Drosophila melanogaster: one gene and its partner. Changing the gene in region 2 together with the main gene of any one other region gives a genetic interaction. Each region holds a gene or a part of one and is shown on either strand. Other genes may lie near its edges.

Region 1 (8,639 bases), on a different chromosome or scaffold from region 2:
AGTACTGCCACGCCTACTCCATCGGCAGCGAAGGCTTGTCGGACGAGGAGCGCCAGCCCATCTGGTATGTGATGGACGAAGTCGGCTCGGCTGTGAACCACTCGGACGATCCCAACTTTCGACTTGTTCCGCTGCTCTACCTAAACACCCAAACCACATACAGTGTGCTCTTTCCGATTCGGGACTGCGATGTCGGAGAAGCGGTGACCCGCGATATGGTGGAGCACGTGGCAAAGGATGCGCCCCAGCGGCCTGCGCTGCTTTTACCCTGGCGCGATGCCGACCTCACGGGCGAAAGCTTCTTGCAGGTTGAACCCCGGGCAGATTACTTTACCAGCGGTCACATCCCTGAGACCTATCCCAAAGGCGATACTGTTCCACTGCCAGCCAGGTCACGTTGCGATCCGCTGAAGGTGTATGCAGAGTACGAGGTGGTGCGCCGTCATCTAACTTCGTCCGAGTTCATCCTAGTTAACAACGCAGACGAGGCGGATGTCCTTTGGCTCACACACCACTTCAAGAATTTCGAGGATTTTGCAGATAGGTCGCCCGGCAAGTTCATCAATCAGTTTCCGTTCGAGTACGTGATCACCATCAAGGATCTCCTTAGCATTGTGGGCCGCCGGGCGGCCAAGGAGCACCATGATAGCCTTACGCTTGAAACGTTTCCGGCATGGCTCCCCACCACCTATAATCTGTCCACCGAAGTAAAGGAGTTCGCGGCTTACTACCAAACGAGAGCAGCCAAGGGCCTCGACAACCACTGGATTATCAAGCCCTGGAACTTGGCTCGCGGATTGGACACACATATCACGGACAACATCAAGCAGATCGTACGTCTACCGGCCACTGGACCGAAGATAGCGCAGAAGTACATCGAGCGACCAGTTCTCTTTAGTCGGCAGGAGGTGGAAGGCAGCGTTAAGTTCGATATTCGCTATGTAATCCTGTTGAAAAGCGTCAAACCCCTGAAGGCATATATACACCGGAAGTTCTTCCTGCGTTTCGCAAACCATCCCTTCACGCTGGATCACTTCGATGACTACGAGAAACACTACACGGTGATGAACTACCAGACGGAGGCGCAGCTGCATCACGTCAAGTGCGACGACTTCCTGACGCTCTGGCAGGAACAGTATCCGGATAACGATTGGTCGGCTCTGGAGCAGCAGATCTGTAGCATGCTGCTCGAGGTGCTTCAGTGCGCCAGTCAAGCAGATCCACCCTGCGGCCTGGCTCCTTGTGCCCAATCACGAGCTCTTTACGCAGCCGACATCATGCTGCGGTGGAAGGACGATAAGGAGAAGTTGATGGAGCCCCAGTTGCTGGAAATCAACTGGACTCCGGACTGCAAACGCGCATGCGACTACTATCCCGACTTCTTCAACGACATCTTCCGTCTGCTCTTCCTAGACGAAGAAAACGACGATAGCTTCCGGGTACTGACGCCAGACAATTGACATTAACCGAGCAAATAAACCCAGTTATCCCAAAGTTTAATGCCTATTCGTGTATTTCATTTCGTTTAGACTATACAAAACTTAAATAGCTTGCCATTTGTACAATATACAAGTAGGTGTGTATGCTTCTATGCGTGGGTATCTAAGTCCTAAAGGCTTAACTAACTAAGATAGCAAGTCAGTTGGTGGTGTGGCTTATGGTTTTATCATAGCATGGACAAGTTCTAGAGTTATGAATTTAGTGTAAAGTTCAAAGAGTGAGCTTAAAGTTAAGGCGTTTACAATTCTCAATTGCAAATGGCACTTGATGAACAATGAATAATGGTAAATAGTGAAATGACAACTTTACAGGATGATATCCCAAGAACATACATTAGAGTCGATGCTAACTTTAACTTAAGGCAATTTCAAAGGCACCCTTTTCAGGCTAGGCTCACGGTGGAACGGAAACGATAAAGTCAATCCAAACATAAAGTAAATATGTTAAAGTCTTCTATATAACTATAAGCTCCCAAGGGTCTTGTACTTGGATTAGTTTGCTTCAACACGCAGGATCTTGGCTTAGCTTTGAATAATATACCTACGAACTAATAGTGTGAAATGCAGGGTATGTCAATGAATGAATCTTAGACTACCTATGTGGTACAACTAAATTACCGCTTACAGCTAAGGCTCGACTACTACCACTAAACGCAGACCTCGTCGAAGTCCAGGCGTATCTTCTCGTCAGCGGAAGCCAGCTTATGTATAGTCTTTTTGATGCGCAGCGCTGGCAAGCGCACGTCGGGGTTTTGGTGCCAGCACTCCTTCATGAGCTTGGACATGCCAGTCATTAACTAAAAAATGAGAACAACAATGAGATCAAAGATCTAGAGAATGGCAATCGAAAGCGACTTACCGAATCCGAGCTCCAGCGATTGGGAATGGAGGGCCTGTAGTTGTCGATGCAGACCACCTTGCGCATATCCTCGAAGCTGGGATCCATTGGCACCACATCGTAGAAGGGCACCTTGTACTCCTCTGCTATGCCGCAAGAAATGGTGCGGCGACAAACCTCCCAGAGGACAAGTCCAAATGCGTAAATATCTGTCCGGCGTAGTGCTTCGAAGCATTCTAAATCAATGCTACAATAGACAAATTGTTAATGTAAAAATATTCTTTTTTGTACTGCCAATAAGCACACACCTTTCATCAAGAACCTCTGGGGCCATGTAGCGCTTGGTGCCCACTTTGGGGTTGTTGCCCAGGTCCAGTTGTCCTGTGACGTGCGAATGGGTAACGGCCAGTCCAAAATCGGCTATCACGCAGGAGCCGTTCGAGGTGACCAGTATATTCTTTGACTTCAAATCGCGGTGGGCCATAGCTGGCTTGCCTTGCTTGCCGAATATCTCTGTGTGCAAGTGTACCAGCCCATTAGCTATGGACAGGCAAATCCATACCATATCGTTGTGGCTTAGGGCGTTACGGTTTAGGTGATCAAAGAGCGAGCCCAGTGGATAGTAGTGCGTCATCAGCCAAAGTTGGGTGCACGAGTTCCGCGACGTCATGTCAGAGCCGATGAATCCCAGAATATTTTCATGTCGTAGCAATATGGTGCTGAAAAACAAAGAACGATTATTTATGATTCATAGAGCAACAGGTAGGTAGTCATGACTGGACTAGGGCACTTTTCTTCTGGGGAAACAGTTAAAAATTTCTACAGCTACAAATTACAGAGTCACAAATAATCTGTTGCTCACCTATATATCTCTGTCTCCCGCTTCCAGGACTCCTCGTCGCGACTGAAGAATATCTTCACGGCGATGCTTTCGCCATGCCAGTGACCGCGCCAAACCTCGCCGTATTTGCCTCGTCCAATGCACTCGATCAGGGTGACCTGTTTGGCTAGCGTACGCTGCACTAGCAGCGGCAATCCGCTGCCCGAGCCGGAGGTCACCGAGTGCTGCAGATACTCCCTCAGCGTACTGTCCCCGGCGCTGGTGGCGCGGAGCAGCTCATCATTGACCAGATACGCTTCCGGGTCCTGTTTGGTTCGCGAGGCAGCCAGACGCTTGCGATGGCTACGACGAATGAAGAAGATGGTCACGGCGCCCAGCAGAGCGATGACCAGAAAAGGACCCAGAACGGCGACGAGCATCTTGCTTATGCTACTGGTATCCGCGGTTATCACCGTCACATCATTGCTGTCGAAGGGCAGCAGTTCCGGAAAGTCTCCCTCATTGCAGTAATCACCGGCACAGCAGACCACATTCACGAACTTCCCCGTATTGCGTTTACTGGGCCCGTTGATCTTCAAGGAGTTCTGGCTGCAGATCATGGGCAGTTGATCCGGCGAGGTGCTGCAGCCGCGTGACTCCTGCACCTGACCATCGGCATCGCGTGTGCGCGACTTCCAGCACTGTTGAAGTTCGGAAATTAAGTTACATTTAAGTTTTAATCAAGTTTAAGGTGGAGTATTCACCTGAATCGCATTCTGGCAGGTGTGGGTAAACTCATAGGGATCCCGACAGGGCGGCTCGCAGGAGTAGCATTTGTATCTGATAAAAAAAAGAGAGAGTTTAATAAGATTGAAGAAGAATCGGTTACGCAAACGGGCAGCTTTTAATTGTTAACATTTGGGTATAAAAGTATAATATACTATAAAATATTTAAAAAAAATGGGGTTTTTTAAGTAAAATTATGAATATTTTCAAAATTTTAACTAAAAGTTAACCAGTTTATGATGTTTTAGTTCATGAGTCGTGTAGGTTTTACCTTCTCTTCATGCGGCGCTTACTCTTAATGTGTCTCCTAATTAAGGATTAGCAGCATGGCAATTAGGAGGGAAATGAGATTAGCAATACAAAGCCTTTGGGCGGAAGCGGGAGCTACAAGCTATGGGCTCAAGACTTAAGATATAATCACCTGGGATGCGTCTGCACCGAGTTCTGTGGCACGGCCGGTAGCTCCTTGCCATTGAGATGGGCGGATGAGGCGGAGGAGAGCTCCATGTCTAAGTCCGGTATGTCCTCCCGCAGATGATCGCTGATTTCGGCTGAAACATAACAAATGCACATTAAACCATATGCACATAGCATATACATATGTACACACATGGACGGCCCAACCAACACAAACGCCACCAGCACTAACACACACACACACATGCACACAGGCGCCCCAGCAAGTTCTGTATACACACACAGAACGGTGGTGTGCGTGGGTAAATCATTGAGAAAATGCACTTATGCTGCAAACGCCCACGACATCCGTTTATATAATACATTCTGTGGGATCCATCAGGTGCTTCTTTCACCAATCAGCATTCCGAGGGCACTTTTTTCGCCTTGGCCTGGCCAAATACGCAACGCAATTGGCCAGAACCGCAGCATATGAAAACAAACCCAAAACACTCAGTGACTTTTCAAGGCATTATATGTGGCTCTAAAACCCCATAAAATCGAAATTTCTCTTGCGCACTCTCTTCACCAAGCACTTGGTAATTGATTAACACTAATTGATGCCCACCTCTGGCATTATTGTACAGCAGAAACGTCAATAGAAAAACTAAATATATATTGGACTCCATTGCTAGAAATGTTATTTGTCCGAGCCTATCGGAACCTATCGATATACTTCTAGCGGGCAGTGTGACCAGGGCCCACATCTGCACATAACATATTTCACATAAAATACCGGGTCTTCAAATTTCCCAAATCCCCTGCGTAAAAATACCAAAGCACAACACGCACACCAACACGAGCAGCCGGTCAGCGGAAAAGTTTCTAGAACGTCAAACTCGAACTCCCATCAAAGAGTCTTTGGCAAAGGAGCCCATTTAACAGACAATTATTTTATTCAGTGCCGTTGTGTTCACAAAGCATAATTGTGTTCAATTTAGGTAAGTGGAGAAGCAGGAGATCTTCAGTGGAGGAGTTTTCGTGCCATTAAGTTGTTTTCCTGAGTGAAATTAACGGATTTACCTACCCGGTGTCATGGAATATAACAAAACATTTGCTTAGTTAGGGTTTTCATGTCCACTGCGACCGGTTTGTCCAGAAAATCAATGGGTTTCAGCTAGTATCGATCAAACGACAGAGTTTTCCCCCTCCCACAGCGCAAACATGTGTTTTTAGTCACGTAACTGTTATAATTTTCCTCGTTTTCCTTGCAATGGAGAAGATACACACGCCGTAGGGAATCATCTTACTGACCCCCCAATTACCACCCCCGCCCTCCTGCACATATATGTATGTACATAAGTTTGTAATATCAGTTGGCAGACGCAATACAAACATTATCTTTGTATATACATACATATGTGTGTAGAGATGTGGTCGTTTATTGTACAATTAGTTGGGTTGCGCCAGAAATCGCATAATGTGTGTGTGAGCGCAGGGGCTGCGGGGGCAGAATCCCGCTAAACAAAAACAATTGGGGCAAGTGGTTTTTTTCGCGCTTATCAAAAGCCCCTCACTGCGCAGAGGACGCTCTCTCTGTGGGCCGCTCGACTCGCAAAGAGCCTCCAATATTTGCCGGCGTTTCGGGCGTAGCGCTCCCATTCTCATAAAAACGCTCGTCGGGAAAGCATCGCACCAAAACTCGAAAAAAAAAACAGAAAACATTTACGCGTTCTCCTAGAATTTCACAAACTACGCAGTTCGTTTATTTATTTATTGGCCGACAAGTAAAAAAAAAACTCGTGGTCAGTTTGTAGTCATCTACACACATGTGTATCTACTTACATAATGCCCGTAAATCCGGCGGATAGCCGGTGATTTTCGACAGCGACCTTTCTGCGTCATTGATTTAATATTTATTTGCCTATCTGCTGATTAGAATTTGATTAAATGCCAGCTCGGTGTTTTTTTTTGGCTGCGAAATGGTCAGGACCTAGGGCAACCTTGGGACCTGGTACTTACTTGGCTTATCTCAGATTCGATTGGAAAGTTTCCAGAGTTTCGCCAGGTTCCGCAAGATTTAGTCATGCCCTCAAGGTTTATTTGCAAAACTATAAAATAGCCAGGTATACATAGAACTTACATATGTATAGCCGAAACAGAAAAACTAGTAATTTTTCCCAAACGACTTGTCTTGTTGTTATTGCAGTTATACATTCGTAATATAAGATAGCTGATTATCTTACAAGATTGTCCGTACTTACATCTATGTTTATTTGTACTTTCAGAACCTTCCAGAAATAGAAACCCAACGCATTTGCCAAGGAAACGTGGCCCAAAACTGAGCAACCCCTAACAAATAGAAACAAACAAAAAATCAAAACCCGTCGAAGTGATAAGAAAATTTGTATTTGTGTAGTAAAAGTGCCGAGGAGAGAAGAGGAGACCGAAGAGATCCCTCCGTGAGTGAAGTGTGCCTGCGAGAAAGCTATGTCCGCATCTAGATCGCGTAATAAACAATCCAAACTTTGTGACGATGAGCGGCTCGATATAAGCAGGGACGAGTTCAACCGATTCCAGGAGGCCTTTGGCAAGGAGGAGTTCCGCAAGCTCTTCTTCGACTACGTGGATGAGATCCAGGATCCTGAGAACCGCAAGATCTACGAGTCAGAGATCACGCAGCTGGAGAAGGAGCGTGGCGTGGAGGTGAGGTTCATCCACCCGAAGCCGGGATTCGTGATCAAGACCGCTCTAGATGGCGAGCTCAAGTGCTTCATCAACATCGCTAGCTGTGAGGAGATCCAGAGGCCCAAAAATGAGGTGGCCACGGATCCGTCGAGTGGTAGCCGGGGCCTGAGCTGGTCCATTCCGATGGCCCAGACCACGTCGCGCGATGACTTCGATGCGAAAAACAACCACTGCAAGGTGTTCGACGTCGTCTTCCATCCCGACGCCCTTCACCTGGCCATGCGGAACAAACAGTTCCGCCAATGCCTCATCGATACGGCACTGGACGCAATCGAACGCGAGTACAAGGTCTCGCTGGATCGCGCCAACCTCAAGTTCCCCAAGCTGGACTACAAGGGTATTCCCCGTCCCACTGTGATACGCAAGATGGCCGATAATCCCACGGCCGAGGAGCAGGAGCCACATCCCCTGGCGCACATGTTCCCCACAAAGCCACCCGCTCCGGGGAAACAAGAGCCCCGTGTCCTGCCCATGAAAACGAAACCCTCTCCGGTGCCGGAGTTCACGGTGCCCAGGTATACGATCAAGCACAGCCACGACGTGGACTTGTCCGAGTACACGGACGAGCTGGATGCCAAGCTGCACGTGACCGTTCCTCGTTCTCTTGTCGTGGAGATCGAGCTCCCCCTGCTCCGCTCGACAGCCGAGTGCCAGCTGGACGTCACCTCCAAGTCCATATACCTGTTCAGCGAGCGACAGGGCGCCAAGTACCGCCTGAAGCTGGACCTGCCCTTCATCGTGGACGACAAGGCGGGCCGGGCCCGCTTCGACACGGATATGCGTCGTTTGAGCATCACGTTACCTGTGGTCCGGAAGAGCATCCAGGAGCAAGCCCAGATGCACGAAACCTTGCGCCACTTCAGCCGCGAGGACAGCGGCGTGGAGCTGCACTCCAATAGCGAATCGCCGGTGGAGGAGGATCCCGATGGCGAACTCAGCGATTCCAAGGCGGATATTTCCGAGACTTGTAAGTAAACCATTAATAATATCATATTTAAGAGTCTGTAAATATAATTAACAATGAAAACTTGTAAATCTCACGTACAAGGGGTCATCCATTCCATCCATTATTATTAATTATTATAATAGGCAGTTGTATTATGTATGATAATATTATAAGATAATATTGTGTGGATCGAACTATTTTCGATTAAAAGCTTTTAAGTTTGTTTAATTTGTGCGAAGAGAATGGTTGGCTTTTGGATTGGATTGTTCTTTTATTTTGATACTCTTTCAAATAAATATATTAATATATATATATTTGTGTGATCCCTCAGCATCGCCCAGTGTCGCACCTGCCAATAGCCCGTTCCTGAAGAGCTCCGTGCACTACCAGCTGCCCAGCAAGTTCGACTGCAACGTGCTGGACAATGTGATGGCCTTTGTGCTGCACGTGCCCAACGTTCAACCGGACTCCATTGAGCAGTTGAGGGAGCAGCGGAGCCTGCACCTGAAGTTCGCCACCATCGGCAGTGGCTACTATCCCACCCACTACGCTTTCTACGTGGAACTGTCGGCGGAGCATGAGGATTCCTCCATCGAGAGCGCGGAG
Region 2 (9,439 bases):
GCCAGGCGCATCAGGTGCGGAAGTCAAGGGCGTCTGCACGGAGGCCGGCATGTATGCGCTGCGCGAACGACGCGTCCATGTCACCCAGGAGGACTTCGAGATGGCTGTGGCCAAGGTGATGCAGAAGGACTCGGAGAAGAACATGTCTATCAAGAAGCTGTGGAAGTAGGCGTTGATCGGCCATTGCAAAAGAACCCTTATATTATTTTCAATAAATACATCAGTTAGTAACATAAATGCATTATTGTGTCATTGGATTTACTCCTTAGTCAGTACGCACAACCCAATTATGATCTTCACAGATAACTTTCGTTCAATGATATCTGAAGAATTGAATAGATTATCAGATTACAGTAGCAGCTTTGTAAAAAGTACATTGCAGTGTTTTCAACTGGCTGCTTGATCAGAACAAAAAAAGAGAGGTTATCCATCTCTTTCTTTTTTATGTTTTTTCGATCTCAATGATTCCTAAAAATCCGAAAGGAAAGTACTTCCAAAATTACATTTATGTATGTATGTTTATTATAGTTCCAAAGAACTTACAGGGGACTTGTCGGAGATTTACAATGGTTCACAACACCTTGCTGTTTTTAAAGCAAATGAGCACCGAACAACTTAAGATTTTGACATTAGGACGCGGATCCAGCGAGTCGTTCCCGTTCCGTTTGAAGCACCTGGCAGATCTGCTCATCGTCAGCCACGTCGTAACAAGTCTGTCCATCTGAATCGCGTAGCTCCAGGCTGGCGTGTAGCTCCAACAGGCATTGGAGCGCCTCCAAGTGTCCACAACTGGCGGCGTAGTGCAGCGGAGTCTGTTGCTCCGCATCTCGCTGATTTACACTGGCCCCACTCCGCACCAGGAACTGTATGATTTCGACGGCATTGCGATCGGTAGCCCAGTGGATGAGCGCCATGCCATGCTCGTCCAGCTTAACCAAGTCACTTGGCTGCAGCAGTTCCCTCAGCCTGTCTAGATTGTTCTCCTTCACGTGGTCAAACAGGGTCTTTTCACTGTCCAAACGTTGGTCCTCCAGTGGGACCGACTCAATGGAATGAACGACCCAGCCTGGGTTGCGCCGGGACCGCCAGTTGGGTTGAAGCTCCTGCAGCTTCTGGACGTAGGCCTGCCGGGCAGCGGACTGGGACATTGTTCCCAGATTGCGCCAAGCCTGCCACTTGCTCTTGGCCTGCAGTTGAAGCAGACCCGGACTTTGCTCCTTGCAGGGGCCATTCGTGGCCTGCTTGTAGTATCCGTAAAATATTAAAAGGTCCGCGGAACCAATGCTGTTTGACTGCTTGGCCACATGCTCGGTGGCAAGGTGGAAAAGCTCGTCCACGGTGTCCGTATCGCTGTCCGACATGTCAAAAAAAAAAAAAATCTGCTGAGCTTATAAACTAAATGACAATTAAAGTGGGGAATCTAAGATTTCTGTATGTTTAGGTAGTTGCCCTCCAGTATGTGCTTCTGCTCGTTCTCGATCTTCTCCAGCGCGGTCAAACTGTTGAAGCTAACGAAACCGTAGCCCTTCGAGCACCCCGTTCGCTTGTCGAAGATCACGTTGGCGGACACCACGCGTCCGAACTCGCGGAAGTAGCCACGCAACTCCTGGTGGCCCACTGTCCACGGTAGATTGCCCACGAAAATGCGGTGCACTGATTTTCCGACTTTTGCTACAGCTGCGGCGGTGGCCATGGACTCGGTTTTGCTAAATGAGGTGTGAATTCGAATTAAATATGGTTTTCTGCTTCTTCCAGCCAAGGCGATCTGGATTCCCGGCGACTCCTTACCAGTTGCGTTGCGTAAATACTGCTGCGTTTCTGTTTCACGTCAACTTGCTGTTTTTGTCGACAGAGAGACATAACCTCAAAGAGGCAGCTAACAGCGCAGTGCTATTACCCTACATGTCGGAGTACATTTGTTCATATATGTAATCAATACTGCAGAGGAGCGTACAGATAATTAGTTAAATGTAATCAATTGGTTTGAAAGCCAATGTAATGACTTCTAAGCTACATTACTCCTAAAATAGTAGTTCATGCAAATAGAATAATTATTTTGTATGTCTATAAATTAAAACTATTGGTTTCAATAGATTAATCTCTCAGAATCGATTTAATTTAAATCTTTATCGTGCTAATCATTTTTCTTAATGTCATAATATTCATCCAAATAGAGTATCAAATCGCTGATGTCTAGTAAGCATAAGCTGCTTTCATTCATTATTTGTGCGCTTAACAGCACATATTCGCACTAACAGGTTCTTACTAGCAATCTGTTAAGCGACGAAGTTCTGTAGAACGGAAAGGGAGCGCCAAATTCAAACGGCAGATCAAAGAAAACACATTTTTTATTTTTGATTTTGCATGATTTTGTTTTATTTTTGTAATTCTTTTTCTGATTTTCCCTTCCCTTTCCCTTTCTTATTTATTTCATTACTCTTCAGTTTAACAAATTTGCTATCAACTACTTAAAATTAACAACATCGCATACACGTATCTTTCTCGATTTCCTTGCAATAAATAAACAAATATTGATTGTTATAAATGTACAATACGATCAAAAGAACAAGTGGATAAGGGTGGGGTTAGGGGTAAGGGCGTGTGCAAGCTTTTGTTGTTTAGTTTAGAGTGGTGTATTTATGCTTTTGGAAATAACATTAACTATGGAAGCCGTTTTCACGTGTTTCTTTTTGTCTCTCGCCTAATTCCTCTGCTGCTGCCCGGAATATCCTGAATATCCTGTGATGCTTCGGATGATGTGCCACGATTTCTCAATTCTCAGACTAACTCGGTTCTCGTATAATTAGTGATTTGGCTCTCTAAACTCCCTATATATATCTGTCCCAGTCTGCGGCTCATTAACCTGATCTGATCCGATCCTATCAGAATTAATTTGATTTTTAATTCTTTTCGCTACTTGGCTCGCCTTACAAAATATAAATTTTGCCTTACTTGCTTGCTCCTCGGTTGTTGTTTACTTTAATAGTAGTTTATAGTTGTGGGTTGTTGCTTAGTCGTAAATATATAACTTCCCCAAAAATCTTATCCATAGAAAAGTGTTATGTTTGGTTTGCAAGCAATGAAACTCTTGAAGATCTTTCATCCGTTTAGTTTTGTACAGGAAACAAGGGCAGAACGTACGTAAGTCTATACAGAATCGGTTACATATTTAATAATTATCCATAATAATGATGTCCAAGTTAAGTTTCGTAATTAACTAATTTGTATAACTATAAGTATTTTGCTTCGTCTTGTTAGTTCGTATCTGCACAAAAACAACTCCAGTGTCATAATAGTTAATTGTTATCATGGTATAGAAATTACAAGACTGTTGTTGTAAGTGGCCTTAGATTTAAATTACAATAATATGATATATAACTTGACAAATTTGTTCTTTATGTTGTGGCTTCGCCTTCTGCTCAGCTTTACATTCATATATATACTGTATACTGTATATATATACTTTATACTATATACTGTCTGTGTTCAAGAGTTTTTATTTGATATTATAATCAAAATATACACCCAAAAAAACAAGCGAAAAAAATGTCTAATAAAAATAGCTGGTCTCTACATATATGGACAAGTATGTATGCATAATTAGATTGTTAAAAAAAAACTGTTAGTCTATACACAAAAGGAGAAATAAACCATCGCTTCCAAATCTCCCAATATATCCTCAACTTTCTGCTTTATCTGTTTGTCTCATCTTATCTCCGCTCATTTGACTGAATGGTACAAATTTTAAATAATAATGAACAAATTCGTTAATGTGTCACAGCACCACCTTGTTTGTTGTTAATTTCAGAAGATATTCTCCCCACTTCGCTGGCCCTCAGTGCTCCTTCTAAATAGATAAACTAAACTAGCGACAGGCGGCCCACCTGCTACCAGAGGCGGTGCAGGTGCAAGTTCCTCGACAGCACCGATCTCACGTCGTTCGTGAACCTCAGCGCATCCAGCATGGGCAGCAGCGACAGCAGCGCCGTGTCCATCGGGTCCGAGAACCAACTCTTGATGGGTATGGCGTTGTTGGGAAAACAGCGATAGGCGCCGGGCGAATTGTCGATGATAAATATCTGCAAGGAACGATGCTCAATTTAGAACAAAATACTCGTATATAAAGTACGATCTTATGCAGCACCCTCTACTTTATCGATTTGCAACTGATGGCTCGCATGGAGTCACTTGTTCCCGCTTACCCTATTTAGGTCACTGCAGATGGCCGACAGGTCTTTGGTGTAGGATCCGTAGTCGGGCGTGCAGTGCTGTCTGTAGTATCGCCTCCGGAGGATGTTTCGTCCGTTGTCCAGCTTGTCTGCCACCGCCGCTCCGTAAATCTCCATGCTGGCCGTGAAGACCACCAGATCGTACCACTGCGAGACCTGCGGGCAGTAGGGCGTAAGTTAATGTGTTGACTTAAATGCGGGAATGCATCTATTTGCTTGGCCAATCAATTCGGGAACTTACCACGTCCAGGAAGTAGTCCACATGCGGTCGCTTGTGCACGAAAAAGCGCACTGGATTCCGATCGATGGTCACTTTGACAGTGAAATCGTGCGGCGTGCCCGGCTTCACCGTATTCCGGGGCATCGCATTGTGATGGGAGTGGATTAGCGTTTCGTCCAGGTCCAGAACGAGGGTCTTGCGCTGCACCAGGCTCAGGCGGTGCCGCGAGACGGGTGACAACGGGAAGAGTTCGTATTTAACCGGTTGATACTGGATAAACTGAGAAAGTTAATACATAATCAACGGAGCAGTACTTGAAAGGCATTCGACATGGGGTTCATATGATGGGCTTGGTGGCTATGCGTCGCTACACTCTGTTGGGGTTGGGTTGCGGTGCAAGGAGATGTTAGAGGTGCTCAATGGCCAAGTTATCACTAGTGCATGGGAAACCCCAATTTACTGATATATTATGCTTTTACAAAACAATTAACAATTATTAGCTGTGCAATAGCATATAATGTTGATGTGGATTCATCGATATCTATGTATATAAGCAGGTCGAAGGTCAGTGCCTCTGCCGCGTCACGATATCTGGCCAAAATCGCCGGCCCAGTACTGAGAGAGTATTGAAGGCGGGTGGTCGATAAGGCGGATGGGAGAACCGTGGACAGCACTTCTGGGACGGGTGGGGATTCGGTGGAACACGAACCATTAAACGTGTGGCGGAAAATCTTGATAGAGGCTTACTTTAAGACAGGTGTCACTGGCTAAGCGGTACCCAGCAAAAATATATGTAACTTTACGAAAATTTAAAATTTTGCAAATATTTAGGAATAAATATCTCGTATTCGTATATATTGAAAGTTACTCTAAATTTAATAGATCGCACATTGAAGTAACGTAAATATAATTTGAAAATATAAATGAAACCATATTATTGATATGAGAGATTTGCAGATACAAAGATCTAAAATATATGAATTAATTTTAAGTTCAACGTTTCTATTCATGCAAATCTTCAAATAAATTTCCGAGGCAAACACATCCATACTCTCTAGCGAGTACTACCTGTATCATTGAAAATCTTATCAGTGCGGCCGCTTTTATTATTATTATTCTGTAGCAGTAGTACTTAAGTTTCGATAGCGGGAGCGGGTTGGGAATAATTTCGGCGTTTCGGGCGGGTAAAAATAGGACTATTTTTGTTTTGTGATTTACTCCTGCTTTCGGGTAATTTCAGTACTTACAGCTCGCACTTGGCGATTGAACATGAAACAAATGCATGTCCATACTTTTGATAGCAACAACAAAAGCGCACGGAATTTCATTTGCAGCAGCGAAATCATTGGAAATAGTGCAAGTCCTTGTACGGTGTTTTTTTTGTTCGGGGCGATTAATTCGATAAATCGACCACGATCCGCGATTGACCGCGGTGCGAGCAGATTCCTCTTCTTCTTCCGCCTCCTCTACTTTATTTTTTCTTTTGCAACGAATTGTTGTTGTTTTTGATAACGCGCCGAGAGCCACACGCACACTCACCCACACACCCGCGGGCGCGCTTCACACAACACACACTCACACAAAAAAAACCCGGAACAAAATCGATAACAAGGCTTCTAGATATTTTGTTGAAAGTGTTTTTCTCTTTTCCCGGTTTTTTACTTGAGTTCAATTATTCGGTGTCGCCTAGTTTTAAGGTCCCTTTTCAAGGGAGAAGGAGGGGTATGGTCTTATTTCCAATTCTTTTGGGGGCTTTTTATATCTGGCGTCTGCTCTTCTTCTTCTCTTTTGTTGTCTTGTACGCCAGTGTGTGAGTGTATTGTTTTTTTTTTAGCGTAGTGTAGTTTTTATATTTTGGCAACTATCGCACCGATTTGGGAATAGATTTTGTTTTTGGTTGAGCAAAACGAATCAATTGATTGAGCTATTGCACTTTGATTGCAGTCGATTGCGAGGTGCGTTCGCCTGAATAGTACGACCTGGCCGTGGACTGTTCATTACTCGTTGGCGCTGCGGCTTAGTGTTTATTACATAAATATAGTTTGTCCGCGTTTCGTTTTTGTTTAATAAATTCCCACACTCATGCACACACTCATGTTTATTCGATACTATCGCACTTTCGCAGCATCGATGAGTTTTCCGCAACTATCGATGGCTGTGTAGTATGACCGTGCGGTGCTGTCTTCAAAATCGCTGAGACACAAACCGTGACACAAACCACTGTGAAAACTCGTCGTTTAAGGTTACGAGTAGGTGCTATGTATGTACGTTTGTGTGCTGCTGTCCAACGTCTTTTAGTGGCGGATATTATAATAGTTTTCCAACTTCCTTGCGACCTATTCCATCACCAGAACCATGGGCCAACAATCGCACACTATTTGCGATCTTAGTCAGACGCACCCACTACGGTCACACCATTCCACATCAGCCTCTCTTCCATCAACACACACACACACTCGCCCGCCCCACACACACACGCACACACACCCACCCACACAGACGCAGTGGCACGAAACGAAAACAATTATTTTGCATCGCAGGCGATAAGTTAAAAGTGATTTAGACCGCACTGAAACCATGTCAGCGGCTGGTAGATCGGTGGACGATCCCGGCCAGAGCCCACTCGTAGACCAAGAGCCGGATCCGGGCCAATCAACGCCAGCGGTGGCCGAAATCGCCGCTTCCAGTGTGAGTGTTTGGTTTTTTTCGCCCTGCTTCTATCTTTTTTTTTTTTGCTGACGACGACGGAAGACACGTCAACTTCTGGAGCGCTGTTGTTTACCTTGTCCACTATCCCACCTAATTAGCCATGTATTCGCCACATAGATTCGATCGGGCCTGGCGGAGCTGGAGCTGCGATCTTCGCAGGTGCTGCAGCGCTTAGAGAACGTTAAGGTGTCGACCACGCCGGAGAGCCCAAATCCCGTCGAGAACGAGGAAGAGGCTGGGGAGCGGGTGACCAGCGAGGACCTCCTGCCAGCGAAGCATCGCGTGCCCTCCGACATTCTTAAGTCGCTGGAGCAATTGGTTTCTTACACGGACAGCGACGATGATCCGGAGTTCCCGCTGCCCGCCCTGGATGACGTCTCCCACTTGGCTCTCATATCGCACAGCATTGTGGCCTATTTGTCGCATCTGGACCGTCAGCAACTGCTCCGGGTGACGAACAGCATTTCCGGGGACGCCACCCGCTGGTTGGGCACGCTGTTTCACTTTGCCCACCCGGCGAGCAGCTTCCATGCGGACAATGCAGACGCGGTGCTGCGTACGGTGCGACTGGCCATCGTCGCCAGGTGTCCGGGGTACTTGGAGGGTGGCATACCCGCCCTGGCGCAGCCTACGTTTTACATCTCGGAGAATACGACGCCGATGAGGCTGCACTACGCATGCCGCCAGTTGGGCATACCGCTGGAGGCTATTAAGGTCATTCCGGAGCACAGTCAGTCCGGGACAATGGATGTGACGCTGCTGCAAAAGCAAATTCAGCAGGATGTGGGCAATAACAGGACTCCGCTGCTGGTGGTCGCCGACATTGGAGCCTCGTTGTGTGGCTATGTGGACAACCTGCTCCGGCTGAGGGACGTATGCAAGGCGCACAACATGTGGCTGCACGCCAGTGGCCACGGACTGGCCGCCTTGGTGTGCGCCCAAAATCAGGGCCATGTGGAGGAGGTACTCCACTCGATGGCCCTGAATTTGGGCAGCTGGCTGGGTGTGCCCAGTCTGCCCATCGTCCTGCTGCACCGTCCGCTGCAGAACAGCGCTCTGAGTGCCTTCGAATCCGATCCCATACTGTCGCGTCGTCTTAATGCCCTGTCCTTGTGGACCAGTTTGCAGGCGCTGGGCCGGAAGGCGATTGCGGAGCGTCTGCATGTGGCCTTCCAGACGTGCAGTATTCTCTTCGAGATTGCCTCCAAGTGTGAGGGCATCCGGGTGTTGGTAAATTATTGCACACACGTTTATGGATAATGTTTTTAGTTTACCAAAGGACCTTGGCATTTTCAGAGCCATACTCCAGGAGCGCAGACCGGAGCCTCTTTGTCGGACGTCATTCAGAGCCCCTTTGATGTGCAGGCGCTTTTTGATGCCGCCGCCCCCGTGGTCGCCTATCAGTTCGACGGCAGCACCACCATTCCACTGGGCGGGAGTGGCTCTTCCGCCGCCGCTGCCGCTGCTGAGCGGGAAACGGCCGAAGGCCTCAAGCCGCTAGAGAAGATTAACAATGCTTCCTACTTCGACCGGCTCAACTCCTGGCTGGGTCAAATCTTGCAACGCGACTGTCCCAATGTATGCAGTGTGAATTAATCATCTCCTTGTATGAGCCTAATCACCATGTTCTTCCAGTTTGACTTTGAGGTAATTGAACACCCGACGCACGGCAGCTGCATTCGCTACTGTCCGCTGGAATTGGGGTTGGGTGAGCAGCCGCCAAGCTCCGAGAACCTGGAGAGCTTCGCTCAGAGCTTAGAGGCACATGTGGACATCCTGCGCGCGACCATCAAGCACAAGGCACGGTTCATTCATCTGGTGGAGTGCAGCGACGTGCTGCGCCTCGTTCCACTGCCCGAATGGGCGGGCATGGGCGGTGTTCGCTTCGTGCCCGAGGGCTGGGAGTCCCTGCTGACGGACCAGGCCAAAACAGAGCTAAACAAGCTGAACATCGACCTGGTGGAGGCCCTGAAATCCACGGACAATGCCTTTTCATTAGGCGAAGGCACCGATGGTCTGATTTGTGTGCGATTCGGAATGGTGACCCATGAAACGGAGGTCGAAGAGTTGTTAGACTTGGTGGTCACGGTGGGCAAGAGCGTCCAGGAAAACTCGCGGGTATTGGACACCATGTCGGAGATTGTTAAAAAGGTTGGCTACCACCTCGTACTGGATTAATGTAACATGTGTTAATTTATTTGTACGCTCAGGGCATTGAGGCGGTTACCGCTGATCTGCAGCGCGAATCGGAGGAGAAGCTCTGGCAGGAGGGCATCCTGCG

The links.
Region 1: of Dd (region 2) and sax, changing one suppresses a phenotype caused by changing the other (phenotypic suppression), as found in Drosophila melanogaster (one study listed by BioGRID).

The regions. Positions count from the first base shown.
Region 1 is NT_033778.4:7,802,927-7,811,565, reverse strand, and holds sax (saxophone), read right to left. Parts: upstream 5,083-8,639; 5' UTR 5,029-5,082; coding exon 4,968-5,028; exon of another isoform or gene 4,554-4,967; intron 4,495-4,553; coding exon 4,365-4,494; intron 4,251-4,364; coding exon 4,215-4,250; intron 3,998-4,214; coding exon 3,922-3,997; intron 3,859-3,921; coding exon 3,200-3,858; intron 3,057-3,199; coding exon 2,646-3,056; intron 2,585-2,645; coding exon 2,359-2,584; intron 2,297-2,358; coding exon 2,147-2,296; 3' UTR 1,499-2,146; downstream 1-1,498. Other genes in the region: TTLL12 (tubulin tyrosine ligase-like 12), read left to right, coding at 1-1,460; Nop17l (Nop17 like), read left to right, coding at 6,830-8,054, 8,365-8,639.
Region 2 is NC_004354.4:21,317,435-21,326,873, forward strand, and holds Dd (dullard), read right to left. Parts: upstream 6,576-9,439; 5' UTR 5,796-6,575; coding exon 5,697-5,795; intron 4,729-5,696; coding exon 4,471-4,728; intron 4,386-4,470; coding exon 4,203-4,385; intron 4,080-4,202; coding exon 3,888-4,079; 3' UTR 2,357-3,887; downstream 1-2,356. Other genes in the region: Rpt6 (regulatory particle triple-A ATPase 6), read left to right, coding at 1-169; anox (anorexia), read right to left, coding at 630-1,361; SLIRP1 (SRA stem-loop interacting RNA binding protein 1), read right to left, coding at 1,421-1,693; CG1486 (uncharacterized protein), read left to right, coding at 7,027-7,137, 7,276-8,388, 8,455-8,736, 8,794-9,309, 9,369-9,439. UniProt on the Drosophila melanogaster protein: Serine/threonine protein phosphatase that may dephosphorylate and activate lipin-like phosphatases.